Linked DNA regions of Caenorhabditis elegans. The protein of the gene in region 2 interacts with the protein of the main gene of each other region in a pairwise test. Each region holds a gene or a part of one and is shown on either strand. Other genes may lie near its edges. The genes, in order: prx-14 and M01E5.4.

The links.
Region 1: the proteins of M01E5.4 (region 2) and prx-14 interact in a two-hybrid assay, tested with the Caenorhabditis elegans proteins (one large-scale study listed by BioGRID).

What each region holds. Positions count from the first base shown.
Region 1 is NC_003282.8:11,181,244-11,184,900, forward strand, and holds prx-14 (Peroxisomal membrane protein PEX14), read left to right. Parts: upstream 1-1,888; 5' UTR 1,889-1,901; coding exon 1,902-2,158; intron 2,159-2,205; coding exon 2,206-2,488; intron 2,489-2,539; coding exon 2,540-2,776; 3' UTR 2,777-3,052; downstream 3,053-3,657. Other genes in the region: cpt-2 (Calponin-homology (CH) domain-containing protein), read left to right, coding at 41-461, 514-880, 1,490-1,573; nuaf-3 (NADH dehydrogenase [ubiquinone] 1 alpha subcomplex assembly factor 3), read left to right, coding at 3,053-3,158.
Region 2 is NC_003279.8:13,286,889-13,291,671, forward strand, and holds M01E5.4 (uncharacterized protein), read right to left. Parts: upstream 2,655-4,783; 5' UTR 2,653-2,654; coding exon 2,406-2,652; intron 2,357-2,405; coding exon 2,058-2,356; intron 1,275-2,057; coding exon 1,068-1,274; 3' UTR 665-1,067; downstream 1-664.

The DNA.
Region 1 (3,657 bases), on a different chromosome or scaffold from region 2:
TCACAGAACTTTATTAAAAATCATATTTTTTCAATTTTAGCCAACGGTCAAGCCACAATCAACTTTGAACACTCGTGGGGAGATGGAGTTGCCGTGCTTCGTTTAATGGAAGAATCATTCAAGGATACCAACAAAAATCATTTTGTATCTCCAGACGACACTCCAAAATCTCATAATCCAGCACATGTGCAGGCACTCGAATTCAAGCTCACGGATTCTCTCAAATCTAAAATCAGTGATGCTCAGAAGAAACACGTCTCTGCAAATTCTGATCTTGATTTTGCGACAATGGAATTCGAAGGACTCAACAGAGATTTGATCAAGAAAACTAAATTGTCACCGGATTCTGTGATGCAGCTTGCTATTCAAATGGCATTCTATTCTTTGTACAAAGAGTTTGTTCCAACGTATGAGTCATGTTCCACTGCTGCTTTCTTGAAGGGAAGAACTGAATGCATGAGGTAAGCTTATTCCTCAGAATTAAAATATCAAGTTTCAAAACTCAATTTTCATATCGGCAACATCAGCTACGCGTGCCGCCACCTTGGCTATTCTTGAAGAAAATCGTAAAGATGTTCGACAACTATTGACTGATTGCTCCACACAACATTTCCAACTTGTAAAAGAAGCATCAATGGGACAAGGATATGATCGACATTTGCTCGGCCTCAAAATCACAGCTCAACGATTGAGCCAACCAACTCCAGATTTCTTCCAAGATCCAGGATACACGAGAATGGGTCATTTTGTACTTTCAACGAGCACTTTGTCAACGGATACGATTGTCTTCGGAGGATTCGGACCAGTTGTGCAAGATGGATTCGGTATTGGATACAACGTTGTTCCCAACAAACTCGGAGCCGTTATTTCGAGCAATAAGGTTCGTGATTTCTCTATTACCCAGACGCTAAATTTTATACTTTTTGCGTCAAAATTACGGTAGTGGTCTCGACGCGACCTTTTTTTTGTTGCTAAATCCAAACTTTCGTTGCTTCGGAATTTTTTAATCATTTTTTCGATAAGAAATATATGTATATTTAAAAAAAATAAAGCAAAAAAACTGAAAAAAAAAACCAATAAAAACAACAATATGTTGCAACATTGAACACATCGTAAGAAACAAAGAAAAAGTCAATTAAAATTCCAAAGCCTAAGAGCTTTAAAGGCGCACAGCTTTTCGCATTTAATAAAAAAAACTATCTTGTTGATACCCGAAAAATTGTCTAATTTTTTTTTGAAAAAAAAATTAGTCAAAAAATAGAAATATTTAGAAGTTTTTTAAAAGTATATGGAAAAAAAAGAAACTTTTTTAAGAATATAAATATTATCAGATATTATATAAAAATCGAAATAAAACTAAACATCAATAAATTGAGATTAGAAAAATCTTGTTCAGGTACCGTATTTTTGACAAAAAAAACTCGAAAATTTCAGGTTATTATCTTATCTCTTAGAATTTGAAAACATCTTATCTTTATAAAATTTTCAGTCGAAACGTGACGCTGCCGCCTTCTCGAATGCTCTTTACAAGAGTTTGGACATTCTTCGTGGTCACCTTCTCGATCCGAAATAATTGTTTGATGACATTTATGTATTTATAGTGTAAACTACTTATTTATATTCATTTTTCTGTATTTTAGGGTAATTTTTCCTCGCGGTTTCTGCCAGATTTTAACCTAACGAGTATTTTCAGTTTCAAAAAATTCTTGCTTTCACATTGTAAATGTTAATTTTTGTGATAAATTTTTATCAATCGGGAAATCAATGTTTGATTATTTGATTATTCATTGATGGTTTTGTTATCGGTTCAAACCTTTTATTATCGATTTTCACTCATTTTTTAGATTATTCAATTTATTGCCATATGTATTATACTTTTATTTTAAAGCTTCAGGTTGAAAATGACTGACCCATCTAGTTCCCCGATTCGACCGGACATGGTAGAAGCAGCAAGAAAGTTTATGCTAACTCCAAAAGTTAAAGAGACTCCATTTGAAGAACAACGACAGTTTTTATTAGGAAAAGGAGTCAGTGAGGCTGAAATCTTGGAAGCACGAGCATCTATTCCGCCGGAGCAGTTGAGAAGTCAAATTGGAACAGAGAATATGATTCCAATAGGAGGTCATCCGCAAATGATGATTGCTCCAAAACAGAATGGGTTTGTAAATGAAATTATTGATTTCAAAATATCACCGCAAATTTCAGAATAGTATCATTTGCACAATCAGCTGTGGTACTTGGATCGATTTCATATGCTGGATATCGATTCGTCCGATCATATGTTCTGCCCAGATTCTTCGATATTCCTGATCCAGCAACAGAGGAAATTCGTCAACTGCAATCACAAGTCGACGATCTTCAGAATTCAATAAAATTCATAATGGATTCTGTTTCGCAAACAACACAACAGCTTGCAACACAACAATCAGAAATTTCAAGAGCCCTCTACTCAGTTGCTAACAGAGATGCTGATTTGAATCGGGTTGAGGTGAATTCTAGAAGATGGTTTTTGTAATGCTAATATTTCAATAATTTTCAGAGCGGAATTTCCACGATAAAAAGTTTACTTCTCAGTCAACATAATTTTGCTCCAATCGTAACACCTAGTGTTACTTCATCAATTCCATCATGGCAGCAGAGTGCAACTCCAACTTCTGCAACATCAATCACCACAACTACAACTTCTGAAGCAGCTTCCGGATATGCAACTCCTCCAGCCAATTTCAAAGAATCGTCATTAGCTGACGAGTTGGCAGATATTGAAAATATTGAATAGAATTTCAGAAATCTATGTAAATATATAATTAAATTAATCATTTTTAATGCACTCCTCGAAAGCCATTCCCTTTTTCTGTGATTTCTCATCAATTCACTGTGCCTTTTCATTTTTCATGTGCCACATTCCAAAGATTGTTAATTTCATCTGTGATATTACGAAAGAAAATCATATCGACATCTGAACGTTTCATTTCACAAAATGGTTGAGAAACCAGATATAAATTATCAGAATAAAAATGTGTTGCATGAAATAAACATTTGTTATTTAGGCATAATGAACAAATCGTTGATTGCTCTCGGAGCACAGACAGCTCGTCGATTTCTGAGCAGTTCATCAAAAAATACGATAGGAGGAGGAGATGCGAATCGGGCAGACACTGGTAATTTTAGGTTTTTTGACTAATAAAAAATGTATTTATTTAGCATCCGTTACTTTTCGTTTATTCCGTTTTGGATTCGGCAAAAATTTGTAAACACTCGATTTCTGATATTTTTCCAATTCATCAAACCTGCAGTCACGAAGCTATTTATACGGTACTCGGTCTCGACACGAAAACTTTTTTTAATGCAAAAAAGTACACTCCTTTAAATAATGAGTGCTGTAAATTCCCACTCTCATTTCTAAGAATTTTATTCCATTTTTCGTAGGTTTTCTCAAGATTTGTTAAAATTTATGTGTTTTTATTGTAAAATTTAAGTTTTTCATAAATTAATGTGTATATCTTTATAGAAAAACTATGAAAAATTGATAAAAATTCAACATCATGATGATCAACGAAAGTTTGAAACTACAGTAATCTTTAAAGGTGCACACCCTCTTGCACTCAACAAGAATTTGCCGTGTCGAGACCGGTAAGAATCGCAAAGTTTCGTGTATGG
Region 2 (4,783 bases):
AAGTCAAGTATTACCGGTACAGAGAGTGTAGATAGTTAGAGAGTGACAGACATCCGCACAATCTCGCGTTTGAATAATACCATTTGGAATGTGAGAAAAATTAATACCTTAAGACAGGTAAATAAACTTTTTCGCAGCGAGACCCATTTTTAAAAAATCGAGGAAAAATTTCGAGAACGAGGAGCCAAAAAAAAAATCGGGAAAAGTGGAATTATCAGAAATTTAAAGAAACGTGAGCTCAAAATGGAAAAATTGACAATTTCTAGAGTTATTTTCCAAAATTTTCTCCAAATTCTACACAAAGTCGAAGGATTTGCCACCCTAAAATCAATCAATTCCTGCAAAACCGCGAGGCCGAGGACATGAGTGTCACTCTCGTCGTCTCCACCACATACACACAAATGCCGTAATGTTGGAGCGTCGTTTGCAGCAGAGGGGAAAAATTGGGCAAAAAAGGGAACAGAGAGTGAAAAATCTCGTGAAAAAGAGAAAAAAGTGTGGTCATGATAGGACGATAACAAGTGCGATAAGGCGAAAATTGTGGGGTAAAACGCAAAAAAAAGAACGGTAAAGTGCAAAGATATTTGAGAAAAAGTCGATAAGAAACGACGAAAAAATTATTCAAAAAAAAAAAAAAAATGGCCGCCCTAGGTGGCGGCCGAAAAGCTTGCAATCTATTCATTACAACTAATATTTGAAATTAAAATAAATTCGAAAAAAGAGGAAACCGAAGAAGTAAAATCGATATGATGGCGCGAGTATATCGAAAAAAAACACAGAAGGAGAAAAAACACGATCACAGGCCTAAAATTTGCCTAATTTCGACATAAAAAGTACAAAAAAACGGCACCAGTCAATGTGGAAATGACGAGAAAACAGGGAAATCGAGAACAAATGACAAAGAGAGCGACAGAGAAAAGAGAAACAGAAAACTTGAATTTAAAAAGTGAATATAAAAAGAGCTTGATTTTTTCTTAACACAAATTTAAAAATTACATTAAAATATTTTAAGCCGAGCAACATCAACAACAACACAGTAACACAGTCACACAAAAAGCTCTGATATTTCAAGCAGAAAACTCTATAATCGATGATTCCGATGAAGACGTCGGAGAGCCGGGAATCGATGCATCTGATGACGTGGCAGTTGACTTCTCACGAGCAAATCGGAGCTCGAGTTGCTCTTCAATGAAAATTCGCAAATTTCTGCATTGGGAGTCCGAAAAATGATGTTCGCGGGAAAGAGACTTCGCGAGACGGGCGGCTTGTGTGTTCTGAAATTAAATTAATTTATTCATTTGGCTAATAAGATCTCAAAAATTGACTTTAGACTAGTAAAACTGGTTTAAAACAGCCAAAATGTTGTTTTAAAAGCTTTAAATTTTGCACAAATAATGCATAATTTGGCTTTAAAACCCCTAGATTTGGTATGAAACCGCTAAATTAGTTTGAAAACCCTTAAAACTCCCTAACTTTGGCTTCAAAACTGTAAATTTAGCTCAAAACCGTAAACTTGGCTAAAACCACTGAATCTGTATTTAAAACCCTGAATTTGGTTTAAAATTTCGACATTTTTCTATAAAACCTCTATATTTGGCTTTAAAACTATTAAATTTGTCTCAAGAACCCTAAATTAAGCTCAAAATTCTCAAAAGTTGGCATTAAGAACCCTATTATCTAAATTTAGCTGTAAAATCGCAATTTTTACTTTAAAACCGCTAGTTTTGGCTTAAACTCTATACATTTGGTTTTTAAAAACCTAAACTAAGCCCAAAAAACCTTGAATTTGACTCAAAAAACCACAAAAAAATCGAAATATTCTATCGATTTTCTTAAAAACAGTATCTTCACGTAGTGGGGAACAAAAGCCATAAATCGTATCACCTTGATAAGCGGCGGGGGGGGGTCTAAGACTAAATTTCATCCAAAAACTCGTGATGAAACCGAACCGACCGAAAAATAAGTGATGGGAATATCAAAAAATAACGGGAAAAACTAATTAACATGAGATTTTTTATTTTTCCCCTCTAACCAGTGGTGAAGCAGTAAAGCAGTACCCTGGGCACTCCAATCGTCTTCTGTTCTCCGGATTTCAGCGTCAAAACCAACTCGAAAAGGTCTTCATTCGAATTTTCTGAATTTTTTGAAGCGGCTTCCTGAAGGCTATAATTGGCCAATACTATGCAAATATCATCGACTGTCGGGTGAGTTCGTTCGATTCTTCGGCGTACTTGTCTCCGTACATTTTCATCAAATGCTTTCTGTTTCTGTTGAATCGGACAACTGGCTTCACCGCCTCCTGATGCTCCTTCGCCTTCTTCTGAACCAGTGTCTGATTGGGATTGTGATCGGGAAGCTGAAAATGGAGTTTTTAGAATATTCCTGGAAAAACTTGCTTTAATTACCTTTCAAAGCTGAAAATTTCTCTTCATTTTCCTTTTTCTGCCTTCTCAAGTGTGGCGGAACATAGACGTTCGACTGAGCTTTCTCTTCACCATCCTGTGAACTATCACTGCTGCCAATTCGTTCGCGAATCTCTGATTTTCTTTCTTCATGTACTCGATTGTACTCATCGCGATCAACTTGATTGCGTCTAATAAATCGAAGAAATCCGTGATTTAAGTCTATTCTTGGCTGATGTGGTCGCGTCATTACTGAAAATAAGAAAATTATAGGGGAAATTTCGGTACGAATGGAGAATACTGACTGATAAGCTTCAAATACACTTGGAATTGCAGGAAAAGTACGAAAATGTAGTGGGAAAACGTTTAGTTTTAATCGATAATCAAGAATTGTTTTAAGGGTAAAAATGATTTTAATTGGGTGTATGAGAACTTTTCATGTATTCCATAGTTTTCACCTTTAATTTATAAAATTTTCAACGTTTAAATTGAAATAAAAATTCTAAATTTCAACAGAAAAAAAAAAAATCCTCGAAAATCGGTTGGGAACTCGCAAAAAATCGTCACGAACACCTGATCAGCATGTTCGCTCCACCGCACATGAGCACGCGACGCGACCGCATCGCCTCACTGTCTGGCACGAAATAACACCACAGATTTTGCAGTTTTTTGGACCCTTTCTGGGGCACCTGCGCCCGATTTTTTGCGTATTTTCGTTTATTTTATCGAATTCCCCGTATTTTTCTCCACTTGTGCCTAAAATTTTAGTGATTTTCATCGAAAACTTGTGAAAAAAGTGAACATGTTCGACATTTTTCTGATGGAACGCCTCAAAAAACTCGATATCGATTATTTTCAAATCCTGTTGCTTGTAATGAATTTTGAGTGATTTTCGATGATTTTCGTAGGTGAAATTGAATTTTCTGGTGCGATTTTGATGCCGAAATGTACAAATTTACCCAAAAACCGCGTAATTTTTGTGTTTTGTGTTAATTATTAATTATGATGAAATTTAGCACAGTGAGAACGCGGTATGTGGAGCAATATATTTCTAAGATTCTTGAAAACCTATTTGAAGCGAATTACTTATTTAATCGTAAAATACCTCATTTTTTAAATATGAATTTGTGTTCCTTTCCTCATTTTCGGTTTAACTCTTCGTCTTCTGGTGTTATAATCTACATATTTCATCTTTTTAAATTCAAAAGTATGTCATTCTCATTGATTCGCCACTGTACGAGTGTGTGTGTGCACTTGGGTCAAGATGACACAGCAAACAATTCAGACTAGACAGGTTCAAGTATTTTCGCTAATTTCATAAATACAGAGGCATACTTTTTAAACATTTTTTTTTCTGAAAAAAAAAACATATTTTTTGTGATTCTACCTCGAAAGAATTAAAATTGCGAATCCATGTGCTTTTTTTTGAATATTTTTCTTCGAATTTCGGGCATATACTAGTTTCTTCTGTGGATAAAAAAATTTTAAGGGGTTCACTGTGGTTTTCTCGTTCAAAAAATCGCCATTGCAGCTGCAAAACTCGAATCTCCGGCCTTGAACAGCAAAATTGAACCCTGCTCCCTCTTTTGATGAATCATTGAGCAATCAGAAGCCGTGTTGAATTAGAGATTCTAGCTTTTGCGTGGTCGTTTCCTCTCTCTCTTTCTCCCTCTGCTCAGATCTTAAATCAGCCCTCTTATGGCACAAGGAGCACATACATCATTCGCGGGCACCGGGCGCCAAAGTGACGCAGAGAAGCGAGAGATATGATGCCGCCCGTGAGAGAGAAGGGAGCAGGCGACGGAAAGTGCACACCGGGTGTAAATAGTGCAGATGACCTTCGTGCTAGGAGGATGGATTCAGTAGATGGAAGAAAGTTGGATGAGTATTTTTTGAGGGACTTTGAGAATTATTGATTTGAAAAATGATGATTTAGTTGGTGTCAAAAGTCAATTTTTAATATTAGGAGATGTTATTTTCTGGCCTCGGTTTTCGTAGATTTGACGAATCTGAAATGTTCCGAGTTTTACGAATATAACCCTTCAGTTTGCTGGAATTTCTGTCTCAAAATGCCCCCAAAGTATCAAATTTAAATGAATATTTGAGAAAAAAGGCTATGTGTAGTTGAAATTTTCAAAATTTATCAATTTGCCCGTGTCGGAGCGACTTAATTCGTATGTATTTTTTGAGATTTCTAGAACTTTTTGGATTTTTTCGATAGTTTTTTTGCTGATGTAGGTATATTTTCTGTTTATAAGCTCCAAGTTTCTACAGATTTTGCTGCTGAAATAGGACCAAAATTAAAAAGAACCGATATTCATAAACATTATGTTGGTGTTTTGACTCTAAATCGAGAAAAAAAACTATTTTACCTTTTTTTT